Linked DNA regions of Cricetulus griseus. The protein of the gene in region 1 interacts with the protein of each later gene in a biochemical or structural test. Links are inferred from orthologs where the notes say so. Each region holds a gene or a part of one and is shown in the gene's direction. Other genes may lie near its edges. The genes, in order: Arl2 and Unc119.

Region 1 (4,570 bases):
TCCACAAGAAGTGAGGAGAGAATCTGCTCCACAAAGTTGTCTTCTAACCTCCCCCCCCCCACAATTTACACACGATAATAATTGTTTTTTGAGACAGTCTTGAAAGAAGTAAAATAGAAAAAATTAATAAAAGCCTAAAACTTGGACTCCAAAGCCCAAATAGAAAACCTCTTACCTCTCTCTGAGTTCCCAAAAAGGCAGCCCGACAGATAAGGCTAAACAAAGAACTGGGTACAGAGGCCTGAGAACAGATAACACCCTCCAACTGTGTCAACATTTCTCTGTCCTAAAGAAGATCCGATAGTTGTCAATTTGTAGTTGTAAAAGTCCCTGCCTAGGAGATAATTAACAAATTTAAACTTACTTCCTCTACAGCATCCTGCTTAATTGCATCCTGCTTAAACATAGTTATTGTTTCATCCTATGTAACCATAAAATTTTGCAATCTCAAGACATTCATTCATTTGAACCTTCCCTTTAAAAAAACACCCTCAGCAAAAAAAGCGGCACTCAGCCTGTTCCCAAACGGGCAGGGTCCGAGTTGCAAATCGTAAAAAAGAAACCTGTGTTTTTACATCGGTGTGTCGCTTCCTCGGTGATGGATTTTTGGGTTTCCACGATCTGGGCATAACAGTTTCACTATATGTCGCCCTGGCTTAGTCGATATGTAGACTAAGCTGGCCTCATCTACTTGCCTCTGACTTCCAGGTGCCGGGATTAAAAGTGTGTCACCAACCACGCGTTGGTGGCGCATGCCTTTAATCCCAACACTCAGGAGGTAGAGGCAGGAGGATCTCTGTGAGATCGAAGCCAGCCTGGTTTACAGAGCGGGTTCCAGGACAGCCAAGGATACACAGAAAAACCCTGTCTCAAGAAACAAAACAAAACAAAAAAGAACTAAGTCTTGGGCAAAGTCATTTACTGAACGACCTAACTGAACACACCTACTACATGCCAGCAGTGGGCTCCAATGTTTGTTAAGACAGGTTCTCTCTACTTAGCACTGGCTGACCTGGAACTTCTTAGGTACTCCAAATTGGCCTTGAACTCAGAGATCGGCCTGTCTCTTCCTCCCTAGTGCTGGGATTAAAGGCCACCACTACCCGGGTCGCCCGAGCTTCTCAACCTGACAGCTTCCCGGCGATCCTTTGTGCAGGTCTGATCGCTGCATTGCGGGAAGCTTGGAGCTTTAAATGACTATGACTATTGTGTGGTCACTGAAACAACCCAAAGGAGCCCTTACTGCCTGTACATTTCGAAACGGCCCCTAGGGGGCATCGTCACCCTCGACTAAACGCACAGAGCCATTTCCGACAGAGTCCCGGACCAGAATCAACCCGTTCTCACTGGCAGATGTGGATAATGCAAGTCACAAAATGAGCGGGAACCGGGCCATTTTACGGCCCCCGGATGATTGTCAGCCGCCTGTGGAACTAGGTTCGGACTCCTGGCTCAGAATCCCTTCGCGAGTTCTCCCTACCTAAACGAGATACAGCCCGAGATGTCAGCCCCGCGTCCCCGATGGAGGCCTTGGAGTCGGAGGGTTTGCTGATTTTTACCCAGGTCCCCTCCGAACCTCAGAAGCGAAGGGTTAAAGCAGCAGGCAGCAAATTCGCCGCCGCTTCGCTAGAGGGCGACGCCACGCACCCCGGTGATCACGTGGTGTCGAGGGCGGAACCAAGCACCAGACTGGCCAATAGGAGCCTGGAGCGGGGTCCCGGGACTGGAAGAAACGGCGGCCGGGAGGGGGCTACGGGATCATGGGGCTTCTGACCATTCTGAAGAAGATGAAGCAGAAAGAGCGAGAGCTGCGGCTGCTCATGCTGTATCCTCAGAGCGCCCCAGCGGCCGCGAGGGTAGCGGGACCCGCCGGGTGGGCGGAGCCGGGCGCGGGGGCGCGGCCGCCGTGGGTCCCCACCGCCGGTGGTGCGTCACTCACGCGGCGCTACCACTGCTCCGCGCGGGGCCGGGGCGGGCCGTACCACTCTGCGGGGCGGGGGGTTGCGTGCTAACGGCGGCGGTGTGGTCCTGAAGGCCGGCCCTGGACCCGGGTCTCCAGTGCCGTAGGAAGGCGCGCCGCGGTGGTGGTGACCCGGACGTCACGGTGTCTCGGGCTGGCTCGAACGTGGGCCCCGCTCCTCCCCAGCGCTGACCCCCTCCCCTTCGTGTAGGCCCTGGCGATTCCTTCAGGGCTGGAATCCCGGGGCGTGAGGACCGCCTAGGCCCCTGAGGGTAGGCGTGGACTTGGTCCCAGGTTAACTGTCACTCAGGGCCCCGGCCGACCTTCCATTGCATTAAGTAGCACCTGCATCGCCCGCCTTGTGTTGTGTCTGGCACCTGAGCATCTGTGATCCTCAAACTGGCAGGGAGAGAAGAGGTAAATTAATGTGCACTTCCAACGTTACCACCCGTGCCAGTTGTAGACAGTTTGAGAAAGACAGTCATTAGATTACTATTTATTGATTACTACTTATTTAGAGAATGCCGTGAAACAGGGAAACGAAAAAGCCTTCCTTGTGGATAATGGAAGAGGAGAAAGAAGTTGTAAAGCAAATAAATAAAATGTGTAGTTTGGGTTGAGAAGAACGTAGTCCGGAGTGGTCAAAGACCGTGCCAAGATAAGAAGTACTGGGCAAAGACTTGAGGAAGGTATTGATGTCTGGGGATGACCTCCAAGTGCAAAGGACCTGGGGGAGGATAAGACTACCATGTTCGAGGGAAGTCAAAGAGTGAAGAGTGACTACAGAGAGGGAGGAGACCTCATGGGCTGGGACCATTTAGGCCACAGGATGGTGGCTTGGAGCAGGATGGAGGAAGGGAGTAGTGGGTAGTAGTGCTGGTAGGACTTGCTGCTACACTGGAGGAAAATGTGAGGGAGAAGGGGAAGCCACGCCGGAATCCCTGGTTTCTGGCCACTTGCTAATACTGGAGAGGAGCAGGTCCTGACTCTGTTTGGGCAGGTGGGTGTTGGAAGGGTTGGGATAATCAGTGGCCGGCTTTCCAAGAGTAAAGTTGGACTGCTGATGAGAGGTAATCTGCTCACCCCCTCTCACAAAAGAGGGTTGTTATGTTTTATTTAAAAGGAGGAAAAGAGAAAGCTGCAAGATGAGACATGTTAACTAGTTTATTATATGGCCCGGCAGACTAAAAGAGAAGAGGAACAGGGGTAATGGCTGACCGCCATGGCCGGTCGCCATAGAGGCAGAGAGAGCTCGTAGGTGGGAGAAGAGAAGAGCAGAGAAGGAGTGAGCAAAGAGAGAGCGGCGTAAAGAGAGAAAGCAGAGAGACAGCGCGAAGCAGGAAAGTTGGAGCTTTTAAAGGGAAGACTGCGAGTGGGCACTGAGGTTCCAGGCATGCCCAGAGTCCTCATGCGTGGCGGGTGACATGGTGATGACTTAGCGCGTTTTCTAGTGCGTGCCCTGACCTTTCAAGGGTCACTGGGCCTGCAGGTGAGCAGGAAGAGGGTCTAAATGCAGAGCTTGCCCCTTCCCTCCCACCCCTCAATTCAGACTGTGGTCACCCCAAGTTCCCACGTGCCGTTGAGCTCACCCAGTGGTTTGTTCTCTGCAGCAGAGGCTGTGGATCATTCTAGAAACAGATGAAGGTGGTTGCCACCTCTAGATACTTGCGCCTTACTTGGTCCCTCAGAGGACTGGGCGCATCTATATTGGGTCTCAAGACCCCACCGAGCCTTATCTGATGCCTAAGTTGAAAGCCATTCCTTTCAGGAATGTCTCACAGGTTTCAGGGATCCCAGATACCCAACTTTGTCTGCTTTATTTAGTCTTTAATTTTTTTTCTTACACTTTATATGTGTAAGTATTTTACCTGTATATATGTATGTGTACTATGTTGAGCACCCGGTGCCCATAGCGGTCAGGGTTTGGTTGTGAACCACCATGTGGGTGGGTGTTGGGAACTGAACTCAAGTCCTCTGCAAGACCTGATGAGCCACCTCTCCAGCCCCATTATTTAGGTTTTTTGTTTTTTTGTTTTTTGTTTTTTTGCTAGTGTTTAAGTGTCATAAGGGTGAAGACTTTGTCCACCAACACCTGAGGAGGCCTGGCACATAATAGGCACTTAATATTTGTTGCTAACCAAAGTTACTTTAAGTTGGCCGAGATGATAATTACCTCAAACCACTTATGGGTCAGGCATGTGCTCCACTTGTTTCAATATACAGTAGTCCCTAAGAGTTTGGTAGTATGATGACATGTCCTCCAGCAGAGCTCAGAGACTTCTCCTTAGCTCTGTGTCCCAGTGGCTTGGACAATGCTGGCAAAACCACCATCCTCAAGAAGTTCAATGGGGAAGACGTGGACACCATCTCCCCAACACTGGGCTTCAACATCAAAACCCTGGAGCACCGGGGGTGAGTAGTGTCACTGAGGGGGAGCCACTGAGGGCCACTGTGTGGGGGCCAGGGGTGAGTAGGACCACTGAGGGCCACTGTGAGCACCGGGGGTGAGTAGGGCCACTGGGGGGGGGGGGGGGAAGGCACAGTGGGCAGGACCAGCCTGACCTTCATTGTCCCTTCCTTCCCAGATTCAAACTGAACATCTGGGATGTG
Region 2 (4,428 bases), on another chromosome or scaffold:
ACACCAAAGTGAGGTTTGATGGTTTGTCTTCATTCTTCTCTGTTGGCTCTCCACCAACCAAAGGATGATGCTCAACGATGGACTCATCCTCCCTTCCCTCCCTATCCCACTGGCTTGAACTTAAAGGCCTTTGCCTGTCTACCCCTGGGCAGTGGCACCTTGTCCTTCCAGCCTGTCAGCACAGCATACTATGGCACTGAGGGGTCGATTTAGGGGAAATCCTTGGGTTAAATTGTAGCCCCCTCCTCTCCACTTCTAAGACTTTCTCCCTCCTTCCTCTCCTTCCTGACTGGTATCACCCATTGGGTACAGCCTAGCCTGGTCTAGGAGGCAGTGGCTTAGGAACTGGTTCCCCTCTACCCTTTCAGAGAGGCAGTGTGGTATAGGAGGAAACACTTCTGACTTAGAATCCAATAGGCCTGGATTGGACCCCTGCTGCACTGAGGTACTGGAGAGCTTTAGATAAGCAGCGCTTCTCACTGAGCCACAGGTTTTCATCTGTCGGAAAGCATTAATGACGTCACTCTCAGAAGGGCATTGGATTAAATGTGATAAGCATATAAAAGTGTTGTGTATATTGGGCTCTTTAAAAATATGTATTAGGTTGTTAATAAACATTGGTTGAATATGAGTTGATATGACATATCATTATTTTCACTCATGTGTGAGAAGCAGTCTGATCTGCCCTGAGCTCACAGGTCTTCCATGTCCCACCTGACTGTGGAGTCTGGGAATGGCTAGACACCTGGGCTGTGATATTTGCATGTTGTAGGGTGCCTAAAGCTGTGAATATATGCTTCTGCTTTTGAGCAGGAATTCTAGGGAGGAATAGCTTGAGCCAGTGACAGCCCTGGGATATTAACTCATCAGTTCAACAAAGGGAAATCCTGGGTACTGGCTGCCAGGAGCACTGTGCTAGCACTGGGATGTTATAGAGAACAGAGTATAGAGTATGGTTGCTTTCATAGATCTGACCTTTGAGGAGCAAAGGTCAGGGCACAAATACAAATAATTTTGCCTAATGCATTAGAAAAAAAAACAACAGGCTGGTTAGCTGGAAACTGAGAGGAAGTACTTTAGAACTGGGTGGGTGTGGGAGGTTGAGACTTGAACTGGAATCAGTTCAAGGATGGAGCTATCAGGGAAAGACCTTGAGGCTGGAACCCAGAGAGAAAGAGAGGTATTCAGTATACCTTACATTGTCCAAAAGAACCGTGAAGTTCAAGAGGACCCCAGGATCCTGACTCTACCGGAGGGGGTGGGGGGGGCGGAGGGGGGGAGATGCCAGTCGGTGGGCGGGGCATGCATGACGCGCCCGCTATGGGCGTGGACAAGGCGGGACGGCACCTGGGGCCCGACCGGGGGTGGGGCGGCGGACTCTTCCCCCTTCCCCCGACTCCAGCCAGCTCAGGCAGCAGACGCGGTAGCAGCAGGCGAGGATCCGCCGCCCCGCGAGGCCATGAAGGTGAAGAAGGGCGGCGGCGGGACCGGGACGGGGGCGGAGCCCGCTCCAGGGGCCTCGAACCGGAGTGTGGAACCCACGCGGGAGCCTAGGGCAGAATCCGAGTCCGGGTCCGAGTCGGAGCCAGAACCAGGCCCGGGGCCCAGGGTGGGACCGCTGCAGGGCAAGCAGCCCATCGGGCCGGACGACGTGCTGGGGCTGCAGCGGATTACGGGCGGTGAGCACCGGCAAGGGAGCGCCACCCGCGGGCTGGAGGGAGAGCTCGGGAGGGGGCCCACGAGGCTCAGAGTCCGGCCCCCGCGCTCACCCTTCCCCCACGCAGTGCCCCTCCTCTGTGTCCCTTTACTCTCCCTTTGCCTCCAAGCCTGAGATTTCTGTTATTTTCCTTGGTGTCTTGGTGCGCCCCTCCTCTACATGTAGTAGGGCTTATTTTCACCTCCCTCCTTCCTTTTCAAGGGGCCCACCCCTTTTCCCATGGTAGAGGTGGGGCAGCAGTTGCATCTGAACCCTTTCCCCTGTGGACTCTTTGAAGCTGGTCACAGAGGAGTGTGCCGGACTGGCAGTCTCTTAAGCACCTATCCTCTGGCGAGGTGGAGTCGAGGAATACCTCCAGGGTCCCTCACCCTGCTTCCCCATTAGGGCTAGCGCCATACTCTTCCCAGGAACGTTACTGATCGGGTGCTTCAGTCTGTTGGCTTGTGGGCTGTGTCATGGAAACAAGTGTGTGATCCCAAGCCTGGACTGGCTGGTACTTGTTTTTTTAACCAGGGCTCTCTCATCAATGGAAGCCCATTTTCCACTGGAGCTGTTTCCAAGCTGTGCTGCCTGGACTAGAGTCCCACTTTTGCCCCATAATTGGTTGTGTGACCTTGGGGATGTAATTTCATTTCCAGAGGCATGTTTTTTCATCTGTAAAATGGGAACAATGTTACCTCCCTCAAGGTTATTGTGAAATAAAGCCTGTCTCCTGCTTTTCGACAATGCTTGGCATGCTATGCATGCTATGTCAACAGGGCTTTTTTATCAACACAGGACTTGGTTCAGAGCAGCTGTCTGCAGGCAGATAAGTGAGCATTCAGGGCAGAGGCAGGCGTCACTACAGATGGTGAACAGGACTAGAGAGTCTTCTGGCAGAAGGTTGGCTGAGCCTTGAGGAATGGAAGGTATTTGGAGAGAAAGTGGCACACTGCCTTGGAATGGGTGGGTCACCAGCAACCTGCTCCAGCTCCCTTTGTGAGCTAGCAGTCCCTTTCTATGGGATGGACACAAGTGCTAGAGTGGAACCTAAAGCCTGGATGGATCTGCAGGAGCAGCAGAGCTGAGGGCTCCCAGACAGCTGTGGAGACCAGGATGGCAGGCCTGAGCTTGTGCATCTGGGTCCCTAGGGGCCTCCCTCCTCCGTTCAGAGCTAGGCAGCAGCGGCAGATTCTTGGCTAGACCTCCCTTGGACAAGCAGGCATCAGTGGAGGGGGGAGGGGCCTGGACCAGGCTGGTGTGGAAGCCAGTGGGCTGCATTTTGTAACAGCAGCCCATACAGTTCAATTTAGCCCTATGGGTGGGGGGCAGGATCACCTGCCTCACTCCTGGATAACTGAAGGCTTATTTTGCAACGAAGGAAGCCTCCAGGTGAAGTCACAGCATGGGTCTCCCAGTCTGGAGGGAATTCATAGCTTGTAGAGGTTGAGCAAGGACAAGTGCCTTGTGAGAGCCCTTTCCTGTGTGGGATTTGAAAACAGGGTTCCAGGCCTCTCCACCTTGCCTGCTATCTTCTGACCCTAATCACATAGGTCTGAGGTTTGCTGTTCCTGGATTACCAGGCCCTGAATCCGGCTTAGGGAGCTATTTGTGGCTACAGGGAGAGCAATTGGCTTCTGAGCCATTACTCTGGACTGACCTTGGGTCCTAGGCCTCTTGTTTTGCAGAGGGGAGAGAGTGGCTGCAGTGTCCTGAGCCCTAGGCAGCCCCTGACCCTCACTCCCTGCTAGGGCAGAGGGGCTGACAGATTGAGTTTTCAGTGTAAGAGACTAAGGTCTGGGTGTGAGAAGTTGTTCCCAGGGAGAGGAGAGGCTCCCAAGCTGGACACAGGGTAAAAAGGGAGGTTTTTCCTGGGAGTTGGGCAGCTAGGATCCTGCTTCCAGGTTCTGCCCACCCTCCCTTCCCTCTGCAGCATCTTCTATAGCTGTGGGGCAGACCTTACTGAGCTGTGATGGATAGGTCAGAGCTCAGCACCCTCTAAAATTTTATATAGTTTCTGCCAAGCTCCAAGGTGCTAGAGGGCTGTCAGGAGGGCTTCCTGGAGGGGGCTGCCCTAGGGAAGAGAGAATGACTTTGTATTCACTTCCTCTTCCAACCACAAGAGGAATAGGAGGTGGCCCAGGGGTGACTTCCGGCCTCTGTAGGTCAGCAGGGAGGATGTGGTACCTTAACAGCACCCAAGCCTCCCTAGCATTTTCTGCTCCTTCCTGTTTCTTGCCAGGGCTTCCCCTAGGACTTGCTATTGCTGCCATGAGAACAGTAAGTTGTATGAAGCAGGAAGAACAGGAGTTCAAGGCTAGCATCTGCCACCTAGTGGGTTTGAGGGTTAGCCTAGGCTACATGAGACCCCCGGCTTAGGAATAGCAACAACTGAAGAGAGGTTAGGGTCAGACCATGAACTCCCTAGGCAATGCCTAGCTTTCCTGGTTTCCTTCTGAGCCCAGGACTCTCCTTGCCTCATTCATATCCTGCTGCTCCAACCACACTCTCTTCTGGCTTGGCCAGAGAGCACTTTATCCCTGAAGGTGGCTCGAGGCCAAGGCTGGAAAAATGACCTCTAAGGATTCCCTCTGTTTGCTAAGATGTCCTCCCATTGGGAGAGCAGCAGAGGATCTGTTGAGCAAAGTTGGCCTCTTCTTCCCCAGTAGCCTGGCTCTGAGCTTAGTCAGCAGAGCTAGCATAAGCTGCTTATGTGGGAGGAGGGCGGGGAG

The links.
Region 2: the proteins of Arl2 (region 1) and Unc119 form a complex in vitro, tested with the Homo sapiens proteins (2 studies listed by BioGRID and IntAct, with this or other methods). The link is inferred for Cricetulus griseus from reciprocal best matches to the Homo sapiens genes ARL2 and UNC119.

What each region holds. Positions count from the first base shown.
Region 1 is NC_048596.1:53,197,790-53,202,359, forward strand, and holds the start of Arl2 (ADP-ribosylation factor-like protein 2), read left to right. Parts: upstream 1-1,622; 5' UTR 1,623-1,760; coding exon 1,761-1,825; intron 1,826-4,261; coding exon 4,262-4,372; intron 4,373-4,545; coding exon 4,546-4,570. UniProt on the Homo sapiens protein: Small GTP-binding protein which cycles between an inactive GDP-bound and an active GTP-bound form, and the rate of cycling is regulated by guanine nucleotide exchange factors (GEF) and GTPase-activating proteins (GAP).
Region 2 is NC_048600.1:91,729,365-91,733,792, forward strand, and holds the start of Unc119 (protein unc-119 homolog A), read left to right. Parts: upstream 1-1,345; 5' UTR 1,346-1,459; coding exon 1,460-1,679; intron 1,680-2,494; exon of another isoform or gene 2,495-2,618; coding exon of another isoform or gene 2,619-2,625; intron 2,626-4,428. UniProt on the Homo sapiens protein: Involved in synaptic functions in photoreceptor cells, the signal transduction in immune cells as a Src family kinase activator, endosome recycling, the uptake of bacteria and endocytosis, protein trafficking in sensory neurons and as lipid-binding chaperone with specificity for a diverse subset of myristoylated proteins.